Bombyx mori: one gene and its partner. The protein of the gene in region 2 purifies or fractionates together with the protein of the main gene of each other region. This does not show direct contact. Links are inferred from orthologs where the notes say so. Each region holds a gene or a part of one and is shown on either strand. Other genes may lie near its edges.

The links.
Region 1: the proteins of uncharacterized protein LOC101736064 (region 2) and putative transferase CAF17 homolog, mitochondrial purify together in Homo sapiens (co-immunoprecipitation; 4 studies listed by BioGRID and IntAct, with this or other methods). This does not show direct contact. The link is inferred for Bombyx mori from reciprocal best matches to the Homo sapiens genes ISCA2 and IBA57.

What each region holds. Positions count from the first base shown.
Region 1 is NC_085131.1:8,723,997-8,739,927, forward strand, and holds putative transferase CAF17 homolog, mitochondrial, read right to left. Parts: upstream 9,988-15,931; 5' UTR 9,808-9,987; coding exon 8,803-9,807; 3' UTR 8,800-8,802; intron 8,717-8,799; 3' UTR 8,356-8,716; downstream 1-8,355. Other genes in the region: ubiquitin carboxyl-terminal hydrolase puf, read left to right, coding at 154-424, 1,284-1,454, 2,335-2,474, 3,007-3,141, 3,880-4,084, 4,965-5,206; uncharacterized protein LOC101745117, read right to left, coding at 11,875-12,111, 12,751-12,955, 13,839-13,982, 14,563-14,725. UniProt on the Homo sapiens protein: Mitochondrial protein involved in the maturation of mitochondrial [4Fe-4S]-proteins in the late stage of the iron-sulfur cluster assembly pathway. Operates in cooperation with ISCA2 in the maturation of [4Fe-4S] proteins.
Region 2 is NC_085109.1:8,397,186-8,413,823, reverse strand, and holds uncharacterized protein LOC101736064, read right to left. Parts: upstream 10,102-16,638; 5' UTR 9,954-10,101; coding exon 9,700-9,953; intron 7,567-9,699; coding exon 7,389-7,566; 3' UTR 7,258-7,388; downstream 1-7,257. Other genes in the region: uncharacterized protein LOC101735939, read left to right, coding at 2,915-3,047, 4,010-4,153, 5,177-5,303, 6,483-6,582. UniProt on the Homo sapiens protein: Involved in the maturation of mitochondrial 4Fe-4S proteins functioning late in the iron-sulfur cluster assembly pathway. May be involved in the binding of an intermediate of Fe/S cluster assembly.

The DNA of each region.
Region 1 (15,931 bases), on a different chromosome or scaffold from region 2:
ATTTAATTTACATTTGGGTGCGACATTTTATAGTGTTAACTTTTTTGTTGCAAACAAGCTGTCTCTTATCGTTCTATTTATCATTAAGGGATTATTAATTTGTTGCCTATGCATGTGACCTTTTTAACCTACGAATCGTTTTGTGTGGTACAGGCCCTGCACAGTTTGCACGCCGTGTACGTGGAGGGGGGCGGCGCGGGCGGGTCGGGGGCGGCGGCGGGCGCGGGCGGCGCGGTGCGTGCGGAGCTGGGCGCGGCGCTGCGCTGGGCGCGCTCGCTGTGCCGCACGCTGCGCACGCGCCGCGACGCCAAGGAGGCGCGCGCCCTGCTGCTCGCCTGCAAGGACTGGCCCGAGTGTGCGCGGCGTCTGCTCACCATGCTCAACTTGCACCATCGGTTCGATCATCTTCGGGAAGCCGCGCTAGGTGATCACCGCAAAATCATAATAATATACTTATTGTTTATAAAATGTAATCTATACTAGTATATAAATCTACAGTGGTTTTTACGGATGTTCCGTTATAACTACTGAACCATGCATTCGATTGACTTGAAACTTGGTATCCATGTATTTAATGGATAGGCAATATTTATATGAGTGTTGGACTCTCTACTTAATGATGAGAATCTTCGTGGGGGTGAGAAATAATAATGTTAATTTTAAATGCCCAGCGAAGCGGACGGGTACAGTTTTTTTTTTTTTTTGTCAGGAGGAAATCGCCGGACTTCCGCCCTTCACTGGGGATGGAGGGCGGGGCATGTCGGAGTCGAACCGACTAAAACCTCCTGTCTCTCAACAACCAACGTCCAAACCTCGCATGACACAAAACTCATGAAAAGGCAAAAGGGGGAAAGGGAAGAGTTTAGTGCGGAGCACATCTCTCCCATCACCCTCCCCCTCGGGACACCGGACTGGCGGTCGTCGGCGCCACGACCACCAGCCCTCTCGGTCGGCAGGCTATCCGAAGCCCGCCTAGATGGCGCCGGTTAGGGACGGGTACAGCTAGTACATTATAGAAGTGATAAAATACTGAAAAATGATTTCGAGAACATTCGTTAATTGTACTCCTACACTTTAATTTGAGACTTACGTGTGTTAAAATTATAAATTACAAAATCACATATGTAAAAACGAACAAAAAATAAATGAATTCGATACTGTTAAGATTGTTTTGGACAACGAATCAATGGTTTTCAGATGACAATGAATTTCAATTTTAAATGTACTTACATATCGTCTAGTTTTTGCGTTTACGTAATAAATTTTATCGAATGGTCACACAGGAGTACTGAAGGAGCTAGTGGTGATGGGAGGTGCTGCGGCGCTGGGGGCGCTGGTCCCGCTGGCGGCCGGGGCACACTGCGCCGCTCGCACCGCGCCGCCTCCCCGACACAGACACTCGCACCAGCCGCACCCTCACGCCGCCGCCTACAGACCCTACCACAAATTCATCGGTATGTACTCTACCACTGTACTATAAATAACTTTCACTGTTAATAAGGTGAAAACGTAAAAACAAAATCAAAAATAAAATTTGCTGTCTTACTGCTAAAACCAATTTTATCGGACCATCATCGGATGCATAAAAATCAATAGATTTGATGTTCGATACGTCATTATCATTAAAATATATATATACGAAATATATACGATCATTAAAATATAGGAATTAGATATAAATGACAGAAAAAAAGAATAATTCTTATTACATATTTATTTACGCAACCCTTTGCCACAGTAACCGTAACTATACTGAGACCTTAGAACTTATATCTCAAGGTGGGTGGCGCATTTGCGTTGTAAATGTCTATGGGTTCCAGTAACCACTTAACACCAGGTGGGCTGTGAGTTCGTCCACACATTTAAGCAATAAAAAATTAAAAGACAGTCGTTTCCCTAATCATTACTTATGCTTCATGTAAATTAAAAAAAAAAATACATGTGTGCAATTCACACTTGGTAGAAGTGAAACCTTCCAAAATTAAAATACAATTATCCTAAACGTCTTAAGTATATGTAAAATTTTGTCATTAGTAAATAATTGTAAGGTAGCGCCCTCTGTGAATTGATATTTTAATTTCACATATAATCCTAAATTAAAATTCACTACAAGAGCTTTCATACACACGTTAGTATTAAAAATTCTCAGATGGCGCTGTATTAAATAGTATGTATATTTCTGTCTCATTCATCCTACACATTTTTGTATTTGTGTCTCTTACCTGTCGTTTTTTCCGTTGCATCCGGTTTGAAATCACAACGATTCTAAAGAAGTTTTCACTTCAAAAATACACAACTATTGAGGTAGAATATATGAAGGTATCGTTTCCGCAGACACGTGCTGTCGCGTCGCTCGGAGCCAGCGCTGCATGTCGGAGCAACTGGTGCTGCTGTCGGCGCTGTGCGCGCTGGAGGCCGTGCCGCTCCGGTTCAACTACTTCGCCGCCTTCTGGAGAGACGTCGCCTCCACGCCGGTACGTATACTTGTAGACATCGGGACAAAACTATCGGATGTGCTCCACCACTAATATGCTTGAATCGTGGCTTAAATGATAAGACCCCTGGTGCATTTGCATCAAGCGATGCCACGGTGTTCGAATCCCTCAATTTAATTACACGATATTATTTCATCATCGCATTAGTTGTTCGTGAATAGTAAGTAGGAAGTATTTTATAAGAAAAAAGAAACAAAAATGTATGATAGTACATTACGCACCGAGGGAGAAAAGTAGGACATTCACGCCCGCGAATCGCGGATTGACATGTTCTACTTTTTTTTTCCTGCCTATGCTGATAGCCTTGAGAGGCTATGTCAGCTTACCCTAGCGTGTGTAGGTGAGCTCACGGGGCCAGAAATCGGTTTTAAAAATAATAATAAATAATAATAAAAAATCGGTTAAAATAAAAATCTGGATTCTTATCCTCAAGACCACGACGACTTCAAAATTGATCAAGTTCTACATATTTACCGATATAATAAGTAAATTTTTGAGTTCGTATTTTCAGGCCGATGCGAAGTTAGAAGAGATGTTATTGGAGTGCAGCGTGTTGAATGAATATATTGACGCGATAATACTCGACGAGCGGGAGTCTTTAGAAGACATCGTTATTTACGAGTTCATGCAACTGTACCTGCCTAAGGTGAGAGTCACGTTGAGTACAGTGCAACATTACAATCATTTTAAATAATTCGACGTCTTAAGATTACTAAACAATTCTCTTTTCGTGTTTATTTGTATTTGAGCTAATTCACTTCATTTCGTTTCCGAAGAGTGTTGGTTTTTTTTTTCGTAGGATAGAAGCGTCACTGGAATATAGTAATTTAAGTTTAGAAGGTTTAGAAGTTGTATTTTTTTTTTATCTATACTAATATTATAAAGCTGAAGAGCTTGTTTGTTTGAACGCGCTAATCTCAGGAACTGCTGGTCCGATTTGAAAAGTTATTTGAGTGTTAGATAGCCCATTTATTCAGGAAGGCTATGTGCTATATAACATCACGCTAAGACCAATACAAACGGAACACCAATAAAGAGTGTTTCAAAATCGGGTTTTTTTCCCTTTTGAGAGCTTCCGCTGTAGAAACGGTTAAAGCTTTGCTAAAATAATGTGTGCCAGAATTGTTCCCCTTTAAAAGATCTAAAAAAAAGTCCGCGTCAACATATGTCTATATGTTAAGGTTGGCTCACTATAACGTTTTTAATGCTAACCAAATTCGTTTTTAAGTAAAGCATTATTTGTGAACTATATTCCACGCGGACGAAGTCGCGGTCAAAAGCTAGTTAATTATAATTATATATATTTAAGAATCCTAGTACAAATAAGCGTTAAGATTTATAGTTAAATAAAAAGAAAACGTATGAAAGCAAGTCGTGTATGCAGGCCCGCGACCCGGGATGCATCGGCGTCGCGGAGTCGCTGGCGGAGGAGCTGCGCGGGTCGGACGCGTGCTCGGGCGGCGTGCTGGGCTGCGTGCGCGCGCTCGTGCTGCTCGTGCCGCGCGCCCGCCCCGCGCCGCCCGCCGCGCGACACATGCTGCGCGCCGCGCTGCTCGCCCAGCAGCGGCTGCAGCACGCCCCGCCGCCCGGTACGTACCTCCACCGACACGCCTCAATGCTCCTCCACATCTTAACTGGTGGCAGGACCTCTTGTGAGTCCGCGCGGGTAGGTACCACCGCCCTGCCTATTTCTGTCGTGAAGCAGTATAATGCGTTTCGGTTTGAAGGGTGGGGCAGCCGTTGTAACTATACTTGAGACCTTAAAACTTATATCTCAAGGTGGGTGGCGCATTTACGTTGTAGATTTCTATGGGCTCCAGTAACCTCTTAAAACCAGGTGGGCTGTGAGCTCGTCCACCCATATAAGCAATAAGAAAAAGAAAAAAAAAACTGTTCATGATCTTGGAAAACAATCGACAGCTGTTCTTTAACATTACTTCATTTGTTTCATTCGTTTCAATAAAGGCCAGTTTGGATCTAATTTAAGTAAAAAAATCTTGATGAATAATAAACCGGTTTTTTTTATTGCTTAGATGAGTGGACGAGTTCGCAGCCCACCTGGTGTTAAGTGGTTACTGGAGCCCATAGACATTCACAACGTAAATGCACCACCCACCTTGAGATATAATTTCTAGGTTCTTCTCGATCGTCGATGATGCAGTAAAGTAATTCCGTTCTCCTTCAGCTATTACTTCCAAATCATCGTATCTTAAATCCCATCTATTTCTATATGCAATCAGTTAATTTCTAAACCATCTTAGTTTCTATCTGGGGTTCTCCTGGTGGTACATACTGCTGGCCCGTGCAAATGTGTAACTTACTTCTGCACAATTCGATAAGTATATCGTTATAGGGCATGACAACTGTTGTACTAAAGCTATTGAGTTCAACCTAACTAACTATATTCGTATATAAATGACAAAGTTTTCAACGATCGTTGAAAGGTAAAAAACATTTTGCGATCTACAGAGGAGGAAGAATCGGAACCTGAAACGAGCAGGGAGTGTCCGCCCGAGACGGTCGCGTGCCACACGCCGGAGGGCAGCGACGCAGAGGACGCGGAGGAAGCGGGCTTCGATCCCGAAGACGATCCCGACGACGAGCCCGCGACGCCGACCGGCCCGCCCCGCCCCTCGCACTACCGCGCCCAGCTCGCGCTCGCCCTCAACACACTCGTCGACATGCTGCACCACATGCTGGGGGAAGGATAGGGTACCGTTCGACTGTATCGCGAAATCGATCCTCTTCACGTTCGGTGAAAATCGATTCGGGCGCCGTCAGGTCTGTGCGAGGCGAGTGCGGGCGCCCTATCCGTCTTCGGTTCAGTGACGTGTACATTAAACTGGCAAAGTGATCGCCCTACGGAGTCATAGATGTCGATTGTGATATTGAACTTCGTTATCGAGTTCGTGATTTTGTTTTAAATTCAATCGGAAATGACATAATTAAATAGTGATGTGATAAAAAAAATCGATTTATGGAATGCTCTTTAGAGACCGAAAAACTTTTGGATTACTGATCGTCATGCAAATATAATATTCTTCTTGTATTAATTAGCTTTGTGCGTTGTGCAGTAACTTATTTCTAATCAAACTCTAATTTACGTATAATATATTCTGTTCAATGTGTGATACAAAGGAAAAATGGTTTCAGAATACTGAAATTAGATAAGATTAAATTTTATTTATTTAAGATGTTTAAAGTCGATTTGATGTTAATTTTGGTGTTGCTAGGTAAAAAACTATGTTGATATAAAATTACATAACAAAATTAGCTCAAAACTCATTTTAATAAACGTTTGGAAGTGTTGGTTAATGTTAAAAACTAAATAAATGGATCTTGATTTTGTGTCTTGTGCACGAATATAATATTGTATGTTTGAACTGTATTTTAAAAGTACTTACTTATCTAAGATTGATCTTAGATTGCATAGAAAATCAAATTAAATAAAAAGTTAAATATCAAATTGTACATTCCAAATTTAAATGAAACCTCCCTTTTAATAACTGTTAGTAGCACAAGGGTAAGAGTCACAGTGTTTTTGTATTTTATTATTTATTTCTGTTGGTCCTTTTCGACTATGCTTTGGCAACTGCCTCGCGACATGTATGCTAAATAAGTAAATTAGATTTCCTTATATCTTCTTCTTCTCTGTCGTTTCCTCATTGCTGAGGGTCGTGACTTATATACATAGTGATGAAAAAAAACATTCACTATCTCGTATGTGAACTGTTTAGATAAATGAAGCATATACTATTGTACTTTCTGTTGTTTCAGTTCTGTATTCTTATGTATACAGAAGACTATTTAGTGTATTGACATATTTGTTTTGGCAGCATATTAATTAGATTTAAAATTTAATAATTATTCAAGTTTCAAAAAACATGTTTAATTAAGATTCTTGTACAATACTTCGGATTATGTTGTGGAAGTATTAAATGACAAATCTTAATCAATTCTGATCATTTGTACACTGTGTAGCTTTTACAACTACCACCGCACTTTTTAAATTCTATGGGGTCCATTTAATACCTAATTTGCGGGGTTTCAACACATCACGCATTTTTTCTGCTCGAATTGAAATGACTGGAATAAAAATAAATAAATTTGAAACCCTGCAATTTATGCTGTTAATTTGACACCAAAAACTATTTTAAGGACAATGATTTTTTATTTAGTTTTTTTTTTGCATTTCTAAATTACTGATTTGCTTTATTGTGTTGTGAAAGACTGTCCCTCATAATATTAAATGACTATAGGTTTTATAATGTTATGAATTTAGTGAAATTGGTAAGCAGTTATGTATAATCTTTAGAGAGAAATGAAAAATTCGTTTAGGCTGTGAAAGTTGTAATTTCAGTTTGTGAAAATTTGGGTCAAAAATTACAAATGAAACCCTTCGAACCAACCCTGTTTATGTAAGTCTGACTAGTAGATCATATCGTAAGTGTTATAATTGAGTCTCTCCCGTCCAAGGCGTGTACTTTGTTTTTTTTTTCTGGATCAATTTGGCCAGTACATATTATATTGTACGTCGAATCTTTATTGAAGCTTATGGTTATTGTTTCAAATTCGTTTTGAAAACTTTGGTTAGTAAGCAATCAATGCACTACTCAAATAGTAGCATTCACTTTTCTCAAATTTTTGAATTTATGATCAAGAATTCATGTATAGAAATTTAGTGAAATAATGTATATATTGACTATCATAGAATGCAAAAACGTGTCCATTTTATATCTTTATAGTAACACAATGCAAAAAACTAATATTTGGTTTTGCATTCGCAAATATACCTGTAGTACTTTTAAGCGTTGTTTGTTTCTCATTCAGTAGATTAATTGTGTAATGTTTTTCGAACATTTATATGAAAATATGATTACCCCCATATAGCTACCAATAAACATTCGTGCACCAACTAAACGAAAAAGTAATAACAGAGAAAAGAAAACGAATTAAAGCAGTTTTAGAAGTTTCAATTTTTATATTCATTTGCATATAATTAATATTGGTGAACATCTGAATCTATTTTATATTGTACCGGTAGGCGTTTGTTACGAGATGAAGCAGTCACTGTACAAGTTGTGAAAGTAATGAATGTATTGTGGTGCTATCAATCTGAATGGAGTGACTGATGATATAAGACAAAATCTATATTTAATTTTGTCCTAATTTAGAGCTTATTAATATATACCTACATTTTAATATAACTATGCTATAATTATCTTTATTTTCTAAATTCGTTGTATGTACTGCAGCATGGCGCGATGGTGAGGGACGGTGGGCGTGCACTGTTCCCCTCTCGTTTTTAAACTTCTGTATCATAATTAAATTTATGTAGTGAAACAGATTGTCTCAGTTATGTAACTGTTACTTATGATTTGTGGAAAAATTAAGAAAATACTGTAAATCGGATTGGAAAGCCAAAGTAAACAGTATTTTGTAGCCATTGTTTTATTTAATGTTTGATAGTTCAAAATTGAATTTGCACAGCATCAACTGTGATAAACCTTTATATTTGTCAGGAACATTAGAATGCATTGGGAGTAAACTTCGATCGACTTGGAAAAGAATAGTAACTGTGGTAGGTATAAACCTCAGTAGGCACCACCTTACACAACTTACCTTTTCTGTGACAAAGCAATCGAGCATTTCAGATGAAGGGGTGGTACAGCCGTTATATTGTACATTTTAAATGTACTCATGTCTCAGGGAGCATAAATGCATACAAAAGGTGATTTTATGAATTCTGGTAATCACTTAACCACAGAAATTACCATCTAAGCAGGTCATGATTCCTGTTACCTGTCTAGTAAATAAAAAATAAGCCAATGGTTCTTTGTGTGAAAATAAAACAAAATCATAATTTCCTCTTTGGCATTGCACTTTATTCTTAATTTCAATAGGAAAGCTATCAACGTTTTGATATGCACAATCCAAACAATATGTTTTGTGGTAAAAAATACTACAGTTTTTACTTATGCACACAGATTTTTCACAGATATTACAATCTGCTCCAAGCACTAATATTTCACCTTTACCCGGAGGACTGAATGGATCCTTCATTACATAACTTGGATATTTTAAGACAATATTACGGGAGAATGGAGGATTAGTGCCTTTGTAATGGGCTTTTTCATTTATATTGCATGATGAACATTTGAATTCATGAAGGACTTGTACGGATTCTTCTGTGGGTTTTTCTTTCTGGTCTGTCATTGTTACTGGAAAATATTATGCACATTAAAATAATCTATATAACTATTAGAAATAACTTGTTGTAGAGTTGCATTTAAATTGTGATTACTCATTATTCAGCCTTTACAACAGTTGCTTTGTCTTTTGGTGCTTCCATAGGCCACCAAGTAGGTTTTAATACTTCTGCAGTGTAACTTCCAATTACTAATGATTTTGCTTCTAAAGCTTCCTTTACCCTAATTAGACCCAGTCCATAATTTTGTATGTAACCTTTTAATTTTCCTATAGTTGATTTAGGATTCTCACTAGCATTTATTGTAGAATCTTTATCTAAGCCGTCCACTGCCTGTGTAAACTTAATTGGCATTATTCTTTTCCTTACAACTCCTGTATGATGAACTCGTGCTGTCAGTTCTTGTCCAATATAACAACCCTTGTGGAAGCTAACACCATGAAGATAGTCACAGTTCACTTCCAAAGGAAAGGTTACTCCAGGCGGTAAATCTTCAGATCCTTCACTTACACCCAACTTATACCTGAGACACTTGTATCCCTCTTCACTATTCTTAATTTGAATATCTTTTGTGGGAATTTTTATTAATTCAGAATGTGTTATTGACATTGGTGATATAATCCTCATCCCAAGTTCAGGCAATCTAGGGTCTTTATATATATTAACATTGTGTGTTGGAGTAACTACACCAATATTCACATTTGGTACTAAAGCATGTATTTTGTACTCGTTGCTCAAATCAGTTATTTCCACTAGTCTCTTTAATTTGTACATTTTTAAATGTTTCTGTATGTGACTAATAACATTTTTATCACATTCTAGAAGGAACGAATCGTCAGTATTCCATTTATGAATCAAAACATCGTAGAGTACCCTGCCCTTGGTATTTAAAAACATAGCATAAATCGACGATGCACCTTCCTCGAAATGTCTCATGTCATTAGTAATAAGACCTTGTAGGTATACACCGGCATCTTTTCCAGCGATATTTAATAACTTTCGACTTTCTAATGGGTAAAGAATAGGATTTTCGACGTGTGAGTATCGCGAGAATTGCTTCTGTAACGATTTAGTAAATAAAAACTTCTTTACCTGATGTAACATTTCGGTTGGAAATTTTATCTAAACACACCATGAAGTCATTTAGTCATTTGAAATGGGTTCCTGATTTTGCAATGCTTTGACTATTTCCGACAAAATCAAATTTTTATGAATTAAATTTTACAACAAATTCATAATTTATTTGACAGTTTTGACACATTTTTTTATGGGATTATGACCTGGTAACTAAGACTTTTAGGTCAAGCCATTTTAATGAAAACTTTTATGTGAAAAATGATATTATGAAATGAAATGAGGTTGATTAATATGAAACATGATATGACATGAAATGAAATGAAATGAGATGATATGGAGTGAGATATAATCTTAGCAAAATGATGGTCATTTACTGAAACTTTTCAGTGAATTTTTTGAAGGATTCCGAGAAATTACGTTCAGCGGCTTTGTTTCATTTTGCAACATTTGTGCACTTTCACATATACTAAACAGTTAATAAACGACCGTTATTACACATTAAACCTGAAGATACACTAAGTAGACAAAATAAAACAATTTGTACAACTTCGCCCCACGTTCCCGCCAAAAAGTGCACTTGACAAGAAAATTTTAGAATTGACTTAACCTTTTTATAGGCCAAAGGATCAACCTCATTCGGTGTTATCGTCTGTAAGAAAGTATAATTTTCACTTTTATTATAATAGAAAAATGGTGAATGGTCAAACACATCATAATGGAGAGATAGAAATTTCTCTATGATCATCGTATATTCACTTTGCGGTAGATAGAAATAGGCAAGATACTCTAACTTTTTCAAATTTTATTTTTATCGCAGGATATTATGGCCTCTTCGTGGAGATTGTGCATTTAACGTAGATTGCCAATCGCATCCATATAAAGTACACTCAATAGTCGCATCACTTGATATGAATACATTAGGCGTCCTGTCGGCTAGACTACGAAATGTTTATAGGTGAATTGGTGAATAGGATTACAAATCAAATAAGGAAGGAAAATATGTATTCCATGTGTATAAATTTATTTATTAGTCACAATAGAGAAAATCTTACAATGAAAAACAATTTGTAAAAATAAATGCGAAAATTACAAAATCGTAAATTAAACTGAACTTATAAAGTAATTGTAATACTGGCTCTTATAGGCCCATTTAATGTTCTTTGTCAATTTAAAAAACTCCAATTATTGTATTAAAATACAAGAAACGCAAATTTGACCATTTGAATTTGAGCACAGATTTTTAATATTATTACAAAATTAATATTTTTATTTCAAAACGAACCAATCAAAGACTAATAATTTACATGTCACAATTTACCGTTCTTGGCTTCAGAAATGAGACACTATTTTCCGCATGTTTTTAAATTTTACATTTTATTAAATCTCTGATTTGTTTTAAATTGCGTGGGTAGGCAACAACGTTACCTTACAACATCACAAAATCCCCATAACAAATACACCTACTTTAGGTGCTTCATAAATTTTGCAACTATAATGCTTTCTTATCACCATGCTTAATCCGTGGGCGGCGTCGTCCAAACACAATTACAACACAGAAAGACTGAGCGTCTTCTAGAAGCTAGTGACGAAATTGATGGAAGAAAATCGAATTATTTAAAACAAAACGAAAGAAATCTAAGCTTCCTTAGTTTTTCATGTAGATATGACAATATATGCAAAATTTCAATTTAAATGGCAAATAAAGAAGCTTAGCAGTAAATTATCAATGAGATTGCCACAGTTTTTTAAATCCGTAATAACATTTTTATATGCAATACTGTCGACTGATAGTTCGCAGTGCGAAGCTTGGGAGAATATACTTTGCGTTGGATGATGCTCTTTGATTATAAAATTGATTAAGACTTAGGAAGTAAATTCAATTGAATCAAACACGACACTGAATATAAATCTGACACTTAGATCTAATTTAGGTTGATACCTACCACTGGACCACGATATGGCGTTAAGTTATGTTTGTACGTATATTTTATCAAATAAATATACGTAGGTAGAATAATAGGAGATAAACAAAAAACCAGTCTATACATTTTATGTACGTCTGAAGCTGAAATCAACCATTTACATTAAAATAATTTACTTCTCTTTTCGTTCTTCGGGATTGTGAGTCATTTCTATTAAGTCTGTGTTGTATGACGTCCTCTGGGGTGTTGTTACAAGAGATGCAGGTACGGATTCCTGTTCTAATGAAACCGTAACGAGCTCAGTGGTGGCAGTTGGTTCGGATTTCGCTGACACGTTATCGCGCTTGTTCGGCGAACTATTCGATGAACGCGAATGCCTTGAAGCTCTTCTCAAATAAGGAGTGATTTTCTATTAAAGAGAAATATTCTTAATATCACAAAATAAGAACGATAATCTATATAATTCGATGCTTGATAGGCAAACATGACTAAGCGACAATGCGTGAACTTTACAGTAGACTAATTTAAAGTTGAAATACTTGAAAAAAAATCTATTTTAACGAATCTAGCTGTAGGATTGAAATTATTTTAATAGACCTAGAAAAAATTTTTTTTTTGTGCCTCGAATATTGTTATTGCCTATCATTTATGTAAAAAGCAGTTAAATTGTCGCTTAGTCACGTTTGCCTTTCAAGCGTCGAATAGATAAATGAATTGCTGTTCGTTAGTCTCGCTAAAACTCGAGAACGGCTGGACCGATTTGACTAAAATGGTTTTGGTCTTGAATTACTTGTGGAAGTCCAGAGAAGGTTTAAAAGGTAGATAAATATGAAAATGCTCGGAATTAGATAAAAATACCAATTTTGTTTTTCCTTCAATGTGTCCCCCGTCGGACGGATTTCTTTTGTTTGTTTTAAGTTTATTTTATACAAAAGCTTAGGTATTTTATTTATCGATTGAGGCACTACGAAATCTGCCGGGTCAGCTAGTAACCATTAAAATTTCGTGACGTATAAAAAAATACAATTAGGTACGCTGGACGGCTTACGTTTTGTGGATCCCTTTTAAGGTACACGCTGGTTTTCTTGACTTGAAAATCGGGAGCGGCTAGGCAGCGTGCGAACAGTAAAGCGGTGGCGCAGGCCCAGCTGGCCCACACGGCAGCGCTGGCTGCACGTGTCGTCGCCGCTCTGCCGCTAAAACTCCACGTCGCTTCCCAACTTCGCTCTATATGTTCGTTCACAGATGAACAGCTGTCACACAACAAAAGTTGTAGCATCCTTCTTTAAAGGACTTCGAATTAGGAACATACGAAGGCTGCCCCACCTTTCAAATCGAAACGCATTACTGCTTCATGGCAGAAATAGGCAGGGTGGTGGTACCTACCCGCGCAGACTCACAAGAGGTCCTAGCACCAGTAAAAAGATAGAACTTAAATAGGCAAATAAGTTATTTTATTAAAACGATCCAATGACCGAGAAGTTATAGTAGCTCAAAGTAGCTATGTGTAGTATGTGGTGTATTTGGGTCATCTGACTAATAGACTTTTTACTGGTGGTAAGACCTCTTGTGAGTCCGCACGGATAGGTACCACCACCCTGCCTATTTCTGACGTGAAGCAGTAATGCGTTTCGGTTTGAAGGCGGGGCAGCCGTTGTAACTATACTATATCTCACTCACTAACTATATCTCAAGGTGTGTGGCGCATTTACGTTGTAGATGTCTATGGGCTCCAGTAACCACTTAACACCAGGTGGGCTGTGAGCCCGTCCACACATCCAAGCAATAAAAAAAAAAGATATACTTCTAAGGTCTCAGTATAGTCACAACGGCTGCCCCACCCTTCAAACCGAAACGCATTACTGCTTCACGGCAGAAATAGGTGGAGCGGTGGTACCTACCCGTGCGGACTCACAAGAGATCCTACCACCAGTAATTTTGCGGGTTTGATTTTTATTGCACGATGTTATTCCTTCACCGTGGAAGTCACTCGTGAACGTTTGTATGGATTCCAGTAACCACTTAATCGGGTAAGCCATGGCTTGTTTGCTCAAAAGGCAATATCATATAATTGCTGTCAAATCCAGAATCGAATACTTTTTAAATTTTGAAAATAGTATCTACACAAGCACTCACTTAGTCGAATTGGTGATATCGAAAAATGCTTCACAGAACGCGTGTAGGCCCTTGTTCGTCATGGTAAAACTATAGCCAGTGAGACCTGCCATTACTAGCGAAAATAACAAGGCTGGCATTAATATACGCCACGGCTGCTGGAGACTGCAAATATAGAAAATGAAGTTTGTGTTAAATCATATATTTGAGAAAACATTGTGCTTAGTGCGAGTTATTTAATTTTCCTTTGTTTTCCGCTAGGGGCGCTTTTCCAACTCCATACGAATTTAACTTTTACACGATCGAGAAAGTAAAAAAACAGATACATATATACTTTGAATCAATTCAATGCACAGTCGTGTAGTTAATCTATACATATAAATAAAATTGGAGTATCTGTTTGTAATATTGTAATTACCGCTTTTTACTACATGCGTATGAATATATATACGGTCATACACCAAAATAACATTTTTCACAATTTTTGTATGTCTGTCTGTCTGTCTGTCTGTCTGTTTGTTCCGACTAATCTCTGGAATGGCTGGACCGATTTTGACGGGACTTTCACTGGACTAGATTCGTCCCGCGGCGTGACCCGCGGTACGACAATAACCGCGTGTAACATCGCGGGACTCAGCTAGTAATGCAATATGTTCAATTTGTGCTTATAATTGTTTAAATAAATGAATTTGTGTGTGTTAACAGTGTGGACATTAATTTATAATATTATTAGATTTTATCTCACCCAGTTCGAGCATAGCCTCCGCCCGGACAGATTGTGAACATAACAATCCACGTAATTGCGAAAACAGTTGACAATACAGGCATATACTCGGCATACTGGCAGTCATTGTCTTTTCCGAACAAAGACCTAGAAGTGTCCAGTACTATTCGACGAGTTGAGTTACCTTAAAAATTGATTAGTTTCAGGTCAGGAGTATCGCTAGGTTTAAATGTTATGTATTATAATAATAATAATAATAATAATAATAAAGCCTTTTATTTCCCATCACCTAAGTATTACATGTAAATATTCTTAATATATATCGTAATATGATTTTTACATTTTGATCTATTTTCAGTTTTGTTTATTTGATTTGCGTACATCAAACTTTTTCTTCGATAGGAACCCCTATTTGGGTATAGGCCTCCTCCAGCTTAATCCAATTTTTTTTGTTCTTAGCTCTTTTCATCCATTATTTTCTTCTTTTGTTTTAGCTATCCCTATCTTGGCATTGAAGTTTCCCACTAACAGGACATTTTCACTAGCTTGCGCTTGCGCTTCTTGTAGTGATTCGTAAAATTTTATCGATTTTTCTTTAGAATCCTTTTCAGTTGGTGCATACACTTGATTTATTGATTGATATTACCATTCTGTTGAACTCCAGTTGAGGTATTGCAACTCTTTAAGATAAGCCTAAGAAGCTTACTAAATTTAAAAATCCTACTTTACGCATGCCAGGTGCTTCTCCTTTAAAGCAGAATATAAAGTCTTGATGCTCTTCGATGCCACTGCCCATCCGTCTAACTTCAACTAAGCCTAATATTTTTCTAGTGGGTATACTAGTTCTATGTATCTTGTTATGGATGCTAACGATTTTACATTAAATGTTCCAATTTGTATTGATTTTTGAGGTACTGTTTTGCTTACTGGAGGGTTATGGTCATTTTCCCCCACGGGGACCAGCCGGCTTGGGGGAATGTTTTTCTTGGTTGTTTTTTGCAGGTTTGTATTATAATGATTGTTATTATTCCGGTTTCGAGTGTATGGTGATCGCTATACATTGGTTTTCTCTCTTAATGAGTTTGATTTTACGCGTGCCATGTATTCGTACGCATTAGTTGTGTTGACTTTCTTCGGAGCTACGTACAATTCATTTTCTTTTCGTGGTGTGCTGACATTGGGCGAAGAAGATGGGTCTCTTTTCCTTTTTTCTCGATTAGCATCCGTTTGGCTCTTGATTATTAGTTTATCTAATTTTAAGTATGCTATGTTACCCCTCCTTCGTTCCTCTTCAAGTTTTGGTTGTAATGTTTTGCGTGCTTCTAATATTTCTTTAGTATAATCTTCCTTCACATAAATACCCTGGGGTAGTTTATTTTTGGACCTCATT
Region 2 (16,638 bases):
CTATGCACTCCATAGACTGCATATAGTTGCCAATCAAATGAAATATGGCAATTATAGTTCATTTACCAAATGCTTAAGATAATAGATGCAGCTGAAAATATAATAGGGGACCCTGTGTAATAGTAATAAAAAAGTCATGGCTACTTTTGGAAATTATTATGAATTATATTCATTTTATATTACTTATATACAATTGCGCCTGGTTGCATTTTCATCCCAAGTATCTACGTACGTAGATACGAATATTTGCGGTTATTTTTATTTTGAAAAATAATCTGATCAGCTACATGTAGTACATTGTTTCCTTATTAGTTTAAGATTTAAAAAAACATAACAAACATAATGATTGTGTCATTAAAAATTTTAAGAACGCACATTAGGCACAGTATTAAACGACTGTCCACCCAAAAACTTGATGAAACTCAACATAGAAACATAGTGCTTATCATAAATTCACTCTAAGGGAAATAAAATTTAATAACAGTGTGATTACAAAATAACAGGTAAGTATTTATTGAATTTACTGTCAAACTTGTACTTATTCACATATTCGTGGAACCCAAATAGATAAGGGGTTACAAAGGTCAATGCTTGTCCGTATTATGATAAGTTTAAATAAAAATTAAGTTACTTCAATAACTCACAGCTAGCAATATGAAATGTTGTTTTTCTTATTAAATAAAAATACTTATGACGTTCTTGTAATTCTAATTAAGTTTCGAAATATATTGGAAACATTACGTGCACTCGAATGTTTTTTTCCTTATATCATTTTATAAACAAACTTTAAGATTTGTCTTCCGTAATTTGAAGGCTTAGTTGGATTTGTAAGTATATTGTACCATATAGAAAGATGGGTCGATGCTTGCTACTATATTAAGGATGCCATATCGTAATATACCCCCATACACACAGCCCATTGAGTTTCTCGCCGGATCTTCTCAGTGAGTTGCGTTTCCGATCCGGTGGTAGACTCTGCGAAGCACTGCTCTTGCTAGGGCCAGTGTTAGCAACACTCCCGGTTTGAGCCCTATGAGCTCACCTACACGTCAAGTCAAGGAGAAGCTGATCTCGCCGCTGTAGGCTATCAGCATAGGTAGGAAAAAAATAATAATATCCTAATACATATTATTATATATTTAAGCGATGTGCGATTGGTTGTGTCGTTTTTCATATAGCAACGGACCAATATATCAATATAATATGATTTACATAAAGTGAACCAAGTTATACCTGTACCTACAATACAACCTGTTTCGTTGGTTTTGAATTAAAAATACAAATAACCCAGCACAGGTGACGCCTAATTACCATGATTATGAAAGCTATTATGTAAAGTATTCTTGTCTTTATTCTTGTAAGCAGCCTTATATAATATACATAGACAGATATTTGCAAATGAAATAAGATACATAACGTAAAACGTGTATTTTGCATGGAACGGTCATATCATCTAAACCATTCAAATGAACCTGCATGGAGAAAATAAATTTGGACAAGCGACAACGGCATGTTTTATGGAAAGTAAATAGTATTTCTATCTCCAACCAAGTCTACCAAGTCTGTTATGGATGGCATCTCCTTATAAGTATATATAGAACCCTATAAATCGTTCCCAGTCCAAAGCAATACCATTTTTGCTTACGGCAGCAGCTATTGTAACAACGGAACTCCACATCCTTACGGATCCATCAGATGCAATAACCCTTGCATTAGACGCCTTCCACTCTAACACTAGGAGAGACCCCGGTAACCGTATTCGTCGAACTCGGCAAAGAGTTCGACGTGCAACCTAACCTTAACATCAGCCCGTTGAGTTTCTCGCCGGATCTTCTCAGCGGGTCGCGATTCCGATCCGGTAGTAGATTCATTCGCGAAGCAGCTACTCTTGAGTTGTTAGGTCTCCCTTGGAGGCGCTCGGGTAGCTGTTAGCAAATCCCGCCCTTTCTGGCTGAGCCCTTGCTCGCCAACCTGTCCTTGTGAAACTGGAAAGGCCTCTGGGCCACCAGTAAGCTGTCAATCATAAAAAAAATCAACGGAACTAGTGGACTAACATGGACGGAAAGAAAACAATCCCAAAGCGCGCTACGGACAGTGTATAGGTAGTGTAGGCAGGTGTAGTGTGTGTGTGTGTGTGCGTAGTGTAGTGTAGTAGGTGGGGACAGGTTATTATAAAATAACTACGTATATATTACGTTATAGTCATACGAGAATGTACAACATAATAATATGTCGCTCAGAATAAAGAGCATTATTCTGACAAAAGGCCTACACCGTTTTTTACTGGTGGTAGGGTATCTTGTGAGCCTGCACGGGTAGGTAACACTATCGTGCCTATTTCTAATATGCAGTAATGCGTTTCGGTTTGGGGGGCTGAGCAGCCGTTGTACTGTAAAAACGGTAACTTAAAACTCAGGTCTCACGGTGACTGGCGGCTTTTACGTTGTTGGTGATTATGGGCTCAGGTAACCACTTAACACTAGGCGGGTCGGGAGCTCGTCCACTTATATAAAACAAACAAACAAAATGAATGATTTGGCTGACAGTGACGACATATTGTGTGAATATAATTTTTTGCTACTTTTAACATGACGTTACGACATCGGGTTTGTTTCTTAGCATTAGTCGTAAATGCTCGTTTAAATAGGATTTTTAATATTTTTAGAGCTATGTTTGTTGCTATGTGTTATGATCAAAGCTTAAAACAATATTTAATCACAGCCACCTGTGCGTATGTTCGAACTTTAGGACCAACAACTTATCATATTTGTGTATTTGAAACATTACGTCGCCTTCTCGTCGCTGGAAACTGATAACTGGACATTGGGGTCGTGAACTCATACTGAGCAGCCATCTTGTCAGTAGTTACTCTATTGCCTACTGTAATAGTCGTTCTCTTTGGTCCGTGTAATTCATGGTGCTGCTGAATCCAAGAAAATTTCGTTGCACGTACCGCAGCGTTTGCGAAGACTCCAATAGTTTTGAGCTCATCATTGCACAAAAGAAAACTGTGACACTGAGCAAGTTAATCTTCGAACTGTGTAAAGGTATATTATAAACACGATAACACATTCTAAATATGGCGAACAATCTATATATTAATCTAAAGTTCATATTGTTCCTAAATTATTTTAAAAAATACTTTAGAAAAACACTGAGGCTTTTACTATTGCCAATGATTAAAACATGTTAACCAGCCAGCGTATTAATTAATATTGACGCAACATTTTCAGTTCTTTGTCAAAATATAGTCCAAATTCGAAGTAATTCGGTAGTAAAAATATTGTTTAATGTCGTGTCCGGTAAAGCCTAGCTTACTACACACAAAAGAATAACCCCATAGCTATTACTTTTTGTTTTTTTAAATACTAAGAATTATTTATATTGCCAATTTTCGTACAGTTATTTTGCAATGCATTATTTGGCAAACAACATAATATACCTACTTAGACCATTTAAAATGTATTTTTAACCTAATTCCTTATAATATAAAGTGTACCGAGCGAGTGTAAATTCTTGGTATTATCGCGATTCATATTTATGCCGGGTTTCTTTTATTCGGTAAAAGATCTCGCAACATTACTCCCCTCCCACTTTACCATATTGCTATGAATTTACTTCTCGTAGATGGTTAAGTTAGCTTGCTGAAACTCTTCAAGCACGTTTTCGAATGAATTTCAGCAGAATCTAAAAAAAATATCAATGTACTCGGTATGTAGTTTCAGCCCGTTGGGATAATACGCTGTTGCCGTTTCTTTTCTGCTGAGTGTGTATGTTAAGATCAATGTATCAGTTAAAATGTAAATACCATCAGTACACAACACTCATGCATTAATCATTAATTATAAAGTAAGTACTTTAATAGTAACTAAGTTTTAAGCAAAATGGTTCCCGCAAATGGAAATTAGAATCCCCGGCTTCTACATTAGGTATCTTTCCAAGATACGCCCTAACACCGTTCTCTAAATATAAGATCCTGTTCTGAGAAATATCCTAATTTCCTTTCCAGCCTGTGAACTGAAGAAAATGTCTTGCATTCCGCCATCCGCTTTTACGGCTGGGCGTATCCGTGAAACTCAACGTGAAAATCGTGACTTGAAGATGCCCAATGTTGATATGGGCAAGAAACCTGACAAATATTTCAGTTTCACAAGTGAGTTGTTGTTGAATAAATAAGTTACATAAATTTAATGAGACTGTTTATAGAAATGGTAAATAGATATGAAAGCATGTTACAGGTTCACAGATATCATAAATAAAATAAAAAAACTTAAATTCCATTGTTTTTAGCAAATTATTCGATTTTATTAGGCTAAGGCCAAAAATTTACTTTTCTTATGTTTTTACATCCCGTTTGTGATTCAAGCCTAGGAGTGAACGGTCGTCAACAGATTTATTATAAACAAGAATGAGGTGGCAATACTTGAAGAAAAAATCACCTACCCAGCTTTCTATTAATTCAAATTCTCTTATAATACTTATGCCTTTTCTGATGGTTAATTCGGTTCGAAGGGCAGGTTAATGTTGCGACTTTCACCCTATTTCTCTACAAGGGTGGCAGTATTAGCTTTAAGATATCTTTGGATCTGATAACCGCTACAAAACAGTGGATCCGGTAACCACTTAACAGGTAAGCTCATGTGCTCATGGCAGGCTCTAAAAAAGTGTAGCTCATATTAGATTTAAGTACCAAATGAGACTTTCAGTTTGAACACTGTCCGATATTGTTGAGAGCACCACGTGTTTTTTTATTGCTTAGATGGGTAGACGAGCTGACAACCCACCGGAATTACCCAACCCATTACCGGAATCCATAGACATCAAAAACTTACACGCCACCATCCGCCTTGTTACACGAATTCCGAGTCAGTCTAAGTTTTTTGGTACTACCGAAACTTATTACTCTTTCACGGCAGAAATATACGTTTGCCTACAATTGCCACTAGGGGCGCTGTTCCAACTGCATAGGTACCTACAGATTTGAGTTAACTTTTACGCTATCGAGAACGTTAAAAAACTGACACTAAGCTCACTGCTTGTGGGATTCGAGATTATCCTTTAGGCCACAACGACTTCAGTATTGAATAATCAAAAATATTAATTTATATTAAGATAATAGGCGTATTACTGGTAGTTAGTTATTTAATGTAAGTAATAATCGTTAAAATAATTTCAGATGTTGAATTACCTGTAAAGTATAACAGCAAATTCATGAATAGTATCTGGGGAAAGTACAACCGTTATTCGCCGCACAATGTGAAAAAAGTCAATGACGCCTTCGTTTCTTCTGGGGATTTTCAGCAGTGAGTCCTAGCACGTTTTTTTTGAAACTACATTTTTTTAGATTTCTTGCTAGATACATACACTTCTTAATTTTTTGGGTCCGGAAGAAATCGCCGGCCCTCCGCTTATAGATTGCAGGGACTAAGCGGCATACGTTAAATTGAACGGGAATAAAACCTCTTGTCGCTCAACAATCTGCATCAGATGAGACAAAACTCAACCGAGACTGGGCGGGAGTAAGGATCGCGCAAATTCTACTCCCACAGGCCGAATGACCAATGAGCATCTCGGTCGGCAGGCAATCCGAAGCCCGCTTAGACATCGCCGCGAACACATAACTCCTGGATACTCCACTGGGTCAGAACCAACATGCATCGGAGAGTGCGGTCATCCGTCACTCTTAGGGCGTTATCATACTATATAGCGGATTGCGAGCGTTCTCAAAGCAGCGGGCGCGCAACGAACACGCCGCGTATGCGCAGCGAATTCGTTACGGACGCGCAAGGAGATCGTCGCGAATAGCAGCGTAGACGCCATTTTTTATCGTCTCGTACAAACGCCAGCCCGTCCACCCGCCTCACTTCAGTCAGTATCAGGTGCAATAACTCATAACAAAGTACTCGCTCTCTTCCATTCGATTTAACTGATAATGGATCCTCCCAAATTCGTCTATGCTTTCGTTTTCGTCTTCGGCATCTTCGAAGTAACAAGTTTTGTTACTGAGTGTATTGTACGACGTTAACTCGCTACAAATACGCGACGAAAACGTTGCGTATCTACCACGGGTCGGCGACGCCGCGATGTCCTCACTGAGCAGCCGCCGAGTCTTCACGGTGTATTCGCGGCGGATATGCTCGGCCCTGCATGCGCTCGCAAACCGCTAGTATGATAAGGACCTTAACACGTCGTCTTCTTGGGTCTGCTTTGCTGGTCCCCAAACCGGTATACGGGCACAACCAGATTTCAGGCGAGATTCTATCCCGGCTTGACGATGGCTTGGTACGGAAAAAGAACGGCGCTCTCATGTGGAGCAAGCCCCGAGCGTGGGTTCCGCCGTGACCAATTCACATCCGTTCTTTGTTTATGTGCATCCAGATGTAACTGTGTATATAGTACGCATATTACAAATACATACGTTTAATGGGTAAATTACAATACTCTTCAATAATATAAATATAATTTTATTTGAATAATTTCAGATTGCCTGTGAATTCCTCTAAGAACGAACCCATGATAACTCTGCCGTCGCCGAAACTAGACAACGTTTGGGCCGCAATCAATGTATCTCAGTCTCATTGACAATTTTGTTTTTTCTTTCTTAATATGAAATAAAATAACATTTTTAAATATATATTTTTTATATTAGAATGTATGGTCGTTGTAAATAGATCGTTTACGTGTCCACCCTCGATTAATCCAAAGCGCCTGTAAGGCCTCTCCTCCTCCTCTGGATATTTGGATTTGTCAAAAGGTCCACCATAGCGCCATGCGATTTTGGAGGATTTTATTGTATATAAAATTTAAATACACGGTTTTTTTATTTCCAAGGTGCCCACCTAATGGTGAGCGCCCAACATCCTCTGTGGATATTAGCAATATAAGAAACACATGTCAGCCGCTATCTACCACTAGAGACTTTAGAAATAACGACGGGATTTCATTCTCAGTCCAAACCAAACAGTGTTTTTCACGGTAACAACAAATTCTACTCCGACGGCGGATTGTAAAAATTTACGAGATCATCTGGAAGAGTTTCTCAAACCACTCTGTATGGAACAAATTTCAAAGAGCTTTATCACTAAGATTCTGAACTATTCATTATTTAATAATTGTTCACAATCTGTCAGCTCTTGTTTGTTATCACATGAAAATGACTGGTAATTGAGAGCCCTGCTCCTTGATAATGGTCACTGAAACATATTTGTCTTTAACTAAAAGAGATTTAGGTATTTTCAAATCATTAAACTCTTTAAGTAGATTGTTTTTACAGTTTAATTACTAAGTATTATTAAAACACATATTATAATCTATCTAATCATTCATTTCTTAACTAAATTATTTTCCATAATTGCATAAAAAATTTACAGTGGTTTAATATGGCCATTTCAATCAATTTTTATAGAAAAACTAGCACCGCAAGAGCAACCTATATCTGCATTTGGGTTCTGTTGCACTCGGAAAGCAGACCTAATAAGTTCAGTGTGATAATCTATTGTTGAACCTTTAATATACTCAAGTGACGTCTCATCAACCACCACTTTGACACCATTTTTTTCAAATATCCTGAAAAAAAAACTTGGTTAGTCAATGAAGTTTTGTTTCATCTATTTCCTTAAAACAATAATGCGAGCTTCCGTACATATTCAATGCAATTACAAAAACATTGAATTACTAAATAGCATAACCTTAAATTCCTTAGGCCCTTTGGCAAAAATGTTAACTTTGGCAAATGTAGTAATGAATAGTAGTATTTTTTTTCAGTTCAGAAATTACGAGATTGATATTTAAACAACGTCAACTGGAATATCTTGAACTTATAAAAAAAAACATAACAAAATAAAGTTCAAGTAAATTTGAAGATTAAAAATTCATCATTTCATAATGCCCCTAAAAATTAATGCATTTTTTTTTAGGCTGTCATGTCCAATGAAGCCAATCATTTTACGTCTAGCTATCTTGATGTCCTCATTATTAAAAAGTCACTACTGCTAATGCATCGGTTTCCATCGTTAAAATAATTTTTCAACAAGAGAAAATATTGACAAAAAAAACGAATATTAAAGCAAAAGGGGCAAGGGTGTGGTATGTAATAGGGTTAATAGGGTTATAGGGTTTTGTATTAGAGTAGCAACAAAATGAGAATGTTATAATAAAGTATACTAAAAGATGTATCGGCTTTTTATACTCTTTTTCCTTTCATAAAAATTCATATAAAAATATTAAGATGATCATAAAAAATAATTATGATGTATTGGCTTACCAAATCAAGCATAAAATATACTCTAAATGTTTGCTCAGAACCCAAAAAAAATTAAATTGGCAATTATTGAAAAAAATTATTTTAACACTAATTTTATTTATAATATAAATGAATGGATACATAATGAACAATTTATTCTTTACTAACTTTTACACTCTGCTTCATGCATTATAGGCGGCGGCTTGGCTCTGCCCCTGGCATTAGTGATGATCATGAGTGACGGTAACCATTCACTATCAAGTGGGCTGTATGCTTGTATACCTACAAGGGCAATAAAAGAAATTATAATCTATAAATAGAAATCACATATCCCTAGAACAGCTTCTTGTTCTGAACGGACAGTATTCTCTGTGCTTTTCTGTATCATTGATAATCTACATTCCAAATTTTATGATCAGTCTCATCAAAGATCAAATTATTTGGTATAGATGTGCAAGGTTAAGAAGCAAATTCTATTTATAATATATTACAAGTATGGTTTGTATGCTTCATATAATTATATACTTATTTATATAATTATTATATATATATTAGAGAGAGAGAGAGAGAGAGAGAGAGAGACAAAGAAGTTGGATTGTATAAGTACTTCATTTGCAGCCTATTTACTCCACTGTTGGACTTAGGCATCTCCCATGGCACTACACACGACTCAATCCTGGGCCTTTCATCTAAAAACTCTCCATGAGACAGGCAGTGCCTAGTGTGAAGAGTTTTTAGCAAACTGTTATGTGTAAATGTTTTCAAGGTTAATAAATAAATTATTATTATATAAAAGATTGTAATACATAATTGGTTATTAAAAGTATAAGTTTCATATTACACAAAAAAACAGCAAAGCATTGCAAGTAACAGCTAGTATACCACAAGTCCAGCACTATTTTCATAGAATTTTTCTCTTTTAAAATGTATAGTTTTATTCTTAAAGGTTATTTATTTGTTTTCATAGTGTTTGATTAGTTGCTATTATTTTAACTCCAATGCAGGAGAATTTAACCAATCAAGACTAAGCAATTACTTTGATAAAAATTTGTTGCTAATAAAAGGTCCTGATTTTCCTAATTAAGTTATCATAATATTAGTAACTTTTGTTGTACTTGTGTATATTTTTGGGATATAGGAATTTAGTCCAGACTGATTGAAGTCTCTCATTTAGACCATTAAGAAAACACAATGTCTTCTACATTGATAAAGAAATGAAGAATAATATTACAATATAATATTCATTATTATTATTATACAGAATGAAAAATGAGTTTGAAAAATGATATTATATATTTGACAAGAATGCTTCTTAATTTCTAAAATAATAGCACTGAATATTCTTTCCACGAGTTTTGTTACAGCTCTTTTCTTATTCTTTTTATTCTGCCACTATCTTATGCAATCAAAAGTGAGTTGTATAGCAGAGTACTTCGATATTTTGCTCTAATACATACCTGTCATCACTATCAACAACATTGTCTAAGTTGAATTTATACTGGAATCCAGAGCATCCACCACTTTCTACACAAAGCCTCAGAAAGGTATCGTTTTCTTTACATAATTCTTTTAATTTTTGTACACAATTGTCACTAATACTGATATCTGTACTTGAAACAGAAGTTGCTGGTTCTTGGGAGAATCTTTTGTTTAATGTGTTTACATTAACAAACTTTTTTAACTGGTGTAAATTTCTAAAACGTAAAAACATTTTCTTTCGTATTCTAGAAAAATATCTTCCAGTGCTTTAACTAAGTTTATTATTTAATTCTATTCTAGTCACAGCCTACATAAAGATACTTGAGACATACATAGGAAGTGTATAATCTATGTACATAGGTGTACCACAATTGACATTGACAATGACATATTATGTAGACTTGCGCTTTGCTTGTACCGAAAATTTTCGAGAATTACGGAGGCCGATCCGACATTGATTTTTGGCCAAATAAGATCGATTTTTAATCGTGTAATAAAAATCTAATGCGCAAAAATTATAATTTACGTACTTGTTCGTGAGCCCCCATGGGTGAATGACACTACTCTGCCTGTTTCTGCCGTGACGCAGTATTAAGTTTCGGTTTGAAGGGTAGGGCAGCAATTGTACTATAAAAATTAAAATTCGAAACTCATGTCTCAAAGTGGATGATGGTATTTATGTTGTTGATGTCTATGGACTACGGCAACCACTTAACACCAGGTGGGCCGTGGGCTCGTACACCCACATAAGAACTTAAAAAAAGCAACCAATTGGCAGCTCAATAAAAAAAACCGCACATAATTTTCTGGAACTAGCACTATTTTCAATGATGAACTTTCCAATTCTACATCCATAGCAATCTCATCTCTATTATATTTTTCTCCTATTAATTAAACATTAGTTCTTGTGGTAAACACAATAGTCCTTTAGTGACTATTCCTCTGAAAGCGATAATTGCATTTCTGTCTTCATATTTGGTAAATTATTTATTTATATACTCCATACACCGCACGATCAGATGGAATAAATAATTAATAACTGGGAACAAATGACGCAGGGGACATCTGGCCCCAGATTGGGATTATCTGTGCTATGGGTATCAGAGAGTGATATATATACTTATATATGTTTAAAAATATAGATATATAAATAATAAACACTCAGGCAATAAACCTTTCATCACACTAATGTTAGCCCGATGTGGGAATCGAACCCATAACCCTCGGCGCAGTCAGGGTCACTGCCAGCTGAATGCAAACTGAAAAAAACCGCTTCTTGAATAATCGAAGTTTTAGACCTCGATTTTTTATGTGGTTCGATAGAGTATCGAATCGATTTTTAAGTTCGAAATTTTTCGAAAAGAATTGACACCCCTATTAAAGAAAACAAAACATGTTTTTCTAATTTATGTAAGCAAAAGAAACAAACGCTATACGTGTAAAGTTTTTTAGGTTAAATCCATGGCTGTAAAATACAAATTGTAACAAAAATGTATCAACACCTTGATGATCTAAAATAGAAATAGAAAATAAATAAGCCAAAGAACCCAAGAAGACACGCCCTAGGACTCCATTTCATTGTATCCATTTATTCGCTTTCATAGATACTGTATGACAGTCCGCGACCGTTACGCTATATTAAGTGTATAATCTATGCGTTACGCGAATGTGGTGTTCGCTCACGCGGCCCGCACGCACATAGACACCCTCCAATCCCAACAATCCCGCTTTTGCAAGTAAGCCATCCGTAAGGAGCTCCGTGGTTCGTGAGGAACGTTAACCTACACGACCTCGGGCCTCGAATTAATCTGGAATCTTTTTGTAACAAACCCAAGCTTTGAAAAATTCTCAGTCTCGTTTGTTTCTGCGTTCTGGCACGATAAATACTTCTGAAGGTTTAACTTCTACGAAGTGCCAGTAAGGGTAAAACCAAAATAGTCTAGATTACTAGCATAAAGGTAGATAAAAAAAGAGTGTTAACCACGCTGGTGTTAATTGTGTTTTTGTTTGTTTTGCGTAGTTTAATAAACAAAGGTAAAATAGCCAATCTTTAACGTTGCACGACAAAAGCTTTTGAGCTGAAAAATGAAATGGGTTCCGAAAATGAAACTTCAATGTAAATTTGAAAGAAAAGATCGATGTTCGCCCAAATTATACACTAATGCCGGCCACTGACATGCGCGCAAATATTCGTACATTGTACGAATGTTTGCGCGCATGTGAAGGGCCGTCAAATATTCATTCGCAAACTTAGCGGCTGTGCAAATGGGTTCGGTACTCAATTTGCGAACCCGTTTTTACAATGTCTCACGAATTTCTCCTCCTTTTTAATTCGTCAATAGAACATTGAAGAGTAAAAGAGTTTTGAAGTCTTTCCCGGATATCATTAACAGCGATGCTGTTTTTATGGGATTTCTTTTGATGAAGATACGCTACACAGTAGACGTCACGATCTATGAAAATAGCGAAACGTCCGTTGCCTTCGCAATCCTGGGCGCAACTGGTCACACGAATGTGTGGGAGACTACGCGAAGGATCGCGGTTCGCGCGCTTTGATGTCTGTTAAAAAACCGACACAGCTTGGAAAACCACGAATGCAGCGAAAACTTTGCATAATCATTTGCAAATGTCGTCCTACACTTGCGGATTTGCGTATTCGTGCGTATGTGAGTGACCGGTATTGCATACAGTCTGGCCATACTAGTCTGTTTCAAAGACAATCTTGTAACACACATTTTAATTTAGCGTTTGTGATTTATTCACTCTATGCGTTGTATATAATGGGACAAATAATTATAAATATCTGAAAGAAAAAAAACATAATTATCATTTACCTAAATATTTACTATTAAAACTTGTTTATTTAAAAGTACAGCAAATATGCAATATCTACTAACCTCACATAGAAATATGTAAAAAGCTACAGTATTCGAAACCTTTAGACCCTTTTGTTTGATTACATTGATTCGTTATTATTCTTCTTCGGGGGAAAAAAGATAAAATGGCGATAGTTGTTGATTCTAGCTCACAATATGACCTACCAGGACTACCACATATACTCAACGATATACGTACCTGCCCTGTTTCGCCTTACAACGATTACACTTTGTTAATTTGGATAAATACAAATAGTCGGAAAGGTTTTCGCTGGCGGTAGAAATACAAAATCTCGCTGCTAGTCAATGAATTTAGTTGTAGCAACGCAGAAAGTTCAAGTCTGTGTTATGCTAACATAAAAAAATTGTTAGATAGTGGAAATTAAAGATTTAGTCGAAGCTTAGTCAAAGTTAGTCGAAATTTATGGGCCTTAAAAGAAAAATATGATAAAAAATACAATAACATTTTGTTTCTAAGTTTTCACATTTCATGCAATCAATATATTGAAGTACCTACATATTATTATTTTGGAAGTACTGGAATTAACGGCTTCATTTAAATTTTGGAAAAAGGGGATTATGTAAGGATATCTGTGGCATTCCGGGAGATATTATGCATATCGCTCATGCATAATCTGCTAGTATCAGAAAATTTGAAACCTTAATGTTATTGAAATTATTGCAAAATAATCTGCCACTCAGTTAAGTAATAACTAGCATAGCGTCTCGGGTTTCATTTTGTTATCGCCATCCACATCAGATGAGCTTCTGGAGGCGTCCAATAACTTACATGAGATTTAGCTTATAATTATGAGTCAATGTTTTCGTTGCCATGATCATTATTGTGGACTTTTTCCTTCATGCCTTCAAAATGGCTGCATTTTAGAATGGGAACTTCGAAAAAATGTTAATTTTTTTTATTGCCTTTGTGTGGTTACCGTCGCCCATGGACTTCAGCAATGCCAGGAGCAGAGCCAAGCCGCTGCCTACCAAGTTCGATTCGAATTCGTTTTTTTTTTAAATACGGATGAGTTTTAAAATGTTTGGCTTACTCCTCCTCCTTTAGCTTGTCTTAATAAATGGATGACCACTTCCAGCCTACCTGATAGTAAGTGTGAACGCTTCGCATGCGGACATTAGGTTTGCTGATGGAGCAGTAAAGCCACTGCCTCAGCATCAATGTAAATCTTTCTCCATAGACCGAGATTTTCCAAATCAGCTCTGAGATTATAATTTTCAACAATCCCTACGGACGAAATCTGTGGAGTTCATTCGAAGCAACTAGGTAATACTTTATTTTTCTGGCCTTGATGAGTTACCGTTAATTGGATACCAGAGCTTGTAGACCGTACAACATGAATGCCGCCGCCCACGTGAGAAATGGGGTTGAAATCTAAATTACGAGTATGTACGAGTAGTATGTTGGTAGCTCTCTTACCCTCCAAGACAACACATTATCGCCTCTAAGAAGAAATAGACAGGATGGTGGTCGAGCTAGCTATAAGCCATGCCACAGGTATAATTATGCAAATTTATAAATTTTGCGTATTTGATTTATAAAGTCACGATATAATTCCTTCATCACAGAAGGTTTTGACCACCGGTACAGTTCCATCTCTTGAAACGAATATATCGAGCGTTTATTCTTTAAGCCACGACCTCTTTAAAAAGTGCTTGTTGTTCAGACACGAAGTTGACCAGTTGGAACCTCTGGACCTGCGGGCGGACTTCGGTTCCGTCTTTTTTTGTCCTACTATTACTACCTACTTAATCACTGATAGCCTAAAGGGTTATTCCAGTTTGGCATGGACGGGTAGGTGAGCTCACGGGCTCAAACTGAGAGAATTTGATAACACTAGACCTGGCAAGAGCTTCTCAGAATCTATCGACGCATTGGAATCGCGACCCACTGAGAAGTTCCAAGAAACTCAGTTAGGTTAGTTGAGTTAGTTCGCTCGTCGAACTCTTGGACGTGATCCACGAGCTCGACGAGGATCCGGTGGATGCGACAAGACATTAGCGGCAGCCACTATAAGAGGGTTATCGTGTCGCGCCGCTTTGTCCAAGTAGCGTTCTGACATTACCTTAAGATACTTACGTACCGGTTCTGCATTTAGATAGTTGTGAAGGTCGACTTTCGTCACGTACCACGGTGCTCTGACGGTATTTCTGCAGAAACGGGATTGGATGACCTGGAGAGAATTTATGTGCATGCGAGCCGCATGAGTGGATATTACACTTGCATAGGTCATAACGAAATGTCATGTCAAATTTTGTGAACTGTCACCTTGTTACGAAGTGACAATAACCTTCTCTTGTAGACATAGACCTCTCTATAGATCGTGGGGTAACGGTTCGCTCTGTGATTCTGCCTGTTTACTCTTTTCTTTTCTTTACTATCGTCCCACCAGCCGTGGAAGAGTTCACAGATATATTCTTTAATACTGTTTTCAGAATAATATTTACCATAAGCCTTTAATTTTTTTCATTGCTGATGGCAAGTGGTTACCGTCGCTCATGGAAGTCAGCAATGCCAAGAGCATAGCGAAGTCGCTGCCTGCCAAATAGGTACACATCCTTTTCATATCAGGTATTTGTTTGTGAAATCATTGGTGGTTCACAGCAACATTTCAATTAACGTTTTTCTGACCCACGACTTATCGGAAATTTACACCAGGATTTTCTTAATAAAAAAAAAACATATTAAAATCGAAAGATTTTCGACGGTTAAACGGTTTCGGTATCCAGAGACAGACATCAAGACACATCAATTAAACTGATAGTACAGGATCCCTGGTACACTTTTCATCATTTATTACTAACAAGCTGATTTTTCGTGAGTAGCTTCCTTTTGACTAGACGCCCAACTTTTTTCCTTACAGTAACGTTGGTAAATGGTAGCTTACCAGGGGTAGAAGAATAAAATATGTTGATTTCACGAAATTTAAAAAAATATTATTAACCGCATTTTTCTTTGTTAATTATCTAAATAACATCAAAAAATATTTGTCCTACAAAATATAAGGTTTTGATAGGGAGTCCCCCTCTCTAACATCTATCATAAACAAGGTAATAAAAAATAATTACTAACCAGCTGATTTTTTTTAAATGGTTTGCTAAAATTTGCATTGTTTACCACCCACATTGTCCTACAAATTGCATGGTATGTCATCTTGGTCCTACGCTCAAAAGTTGTCAATACCGCAGGTTTTTTTTTTATTAGTAACTGTAGGACAAAGGTGTCACGTGATAGGTTAATATATTTTACGTCCAAATAAAACAATGTCCTACAAAAAAAAAGTATGCTTTATTAGTCCTACAAGATTAGTAATTTTTGAGTATACAAAATGAAATGAAATATATATATATAAACATAAAAACATTAAATTTACTCTAAATTCCTTGTAACAAGAGGAATGATAACCTATTATTTCATTACTCCAACTTTCAGGAAATACAACACCACAATGTGTTTATAATGCTTTCGTGCAGATAAAAAAGTCTTACAAGAAAGCCACATATCTATATTATTATTTTTTAACAAATTACACAAAAGGCACTCCATTATTATTTTGCAGCACAGATTACTATTCAAATTATTCCCTAGGACTCCCTAACAAAACCTTATATTTTGTAGAACAAATATTTTTTCACGTTGTTTAGATTATTATCCCGATAATTAACAAAGAAAAATTCGGTTAGTAATAAATTTTTTAAATTCGTGAAATCAACATATTTTATCCTTGCTACCCTTAGTAAGCTACCACTTACCAAAGTTACTGTAAGGAAAAAAGTTGGGCGTCTAGTCAAAACGAAGCTTCTCACGAAAAATCGGCTTGTTAGTACTTAGTCTGGCCATAAATACTGTTATAATTAAAAATAAACAAAATATTACATTTGAATTTGGAATCTGCAATTGTTATATGATTGCTCATTGAGTTTTTTCATTTGGGCGCCAATACATTGTACAATATTTTGCGATATTAAAATGGAGTGGGGTGATAAAGAGAACCGAATCGCTGTGATTGCATTACACAAAGT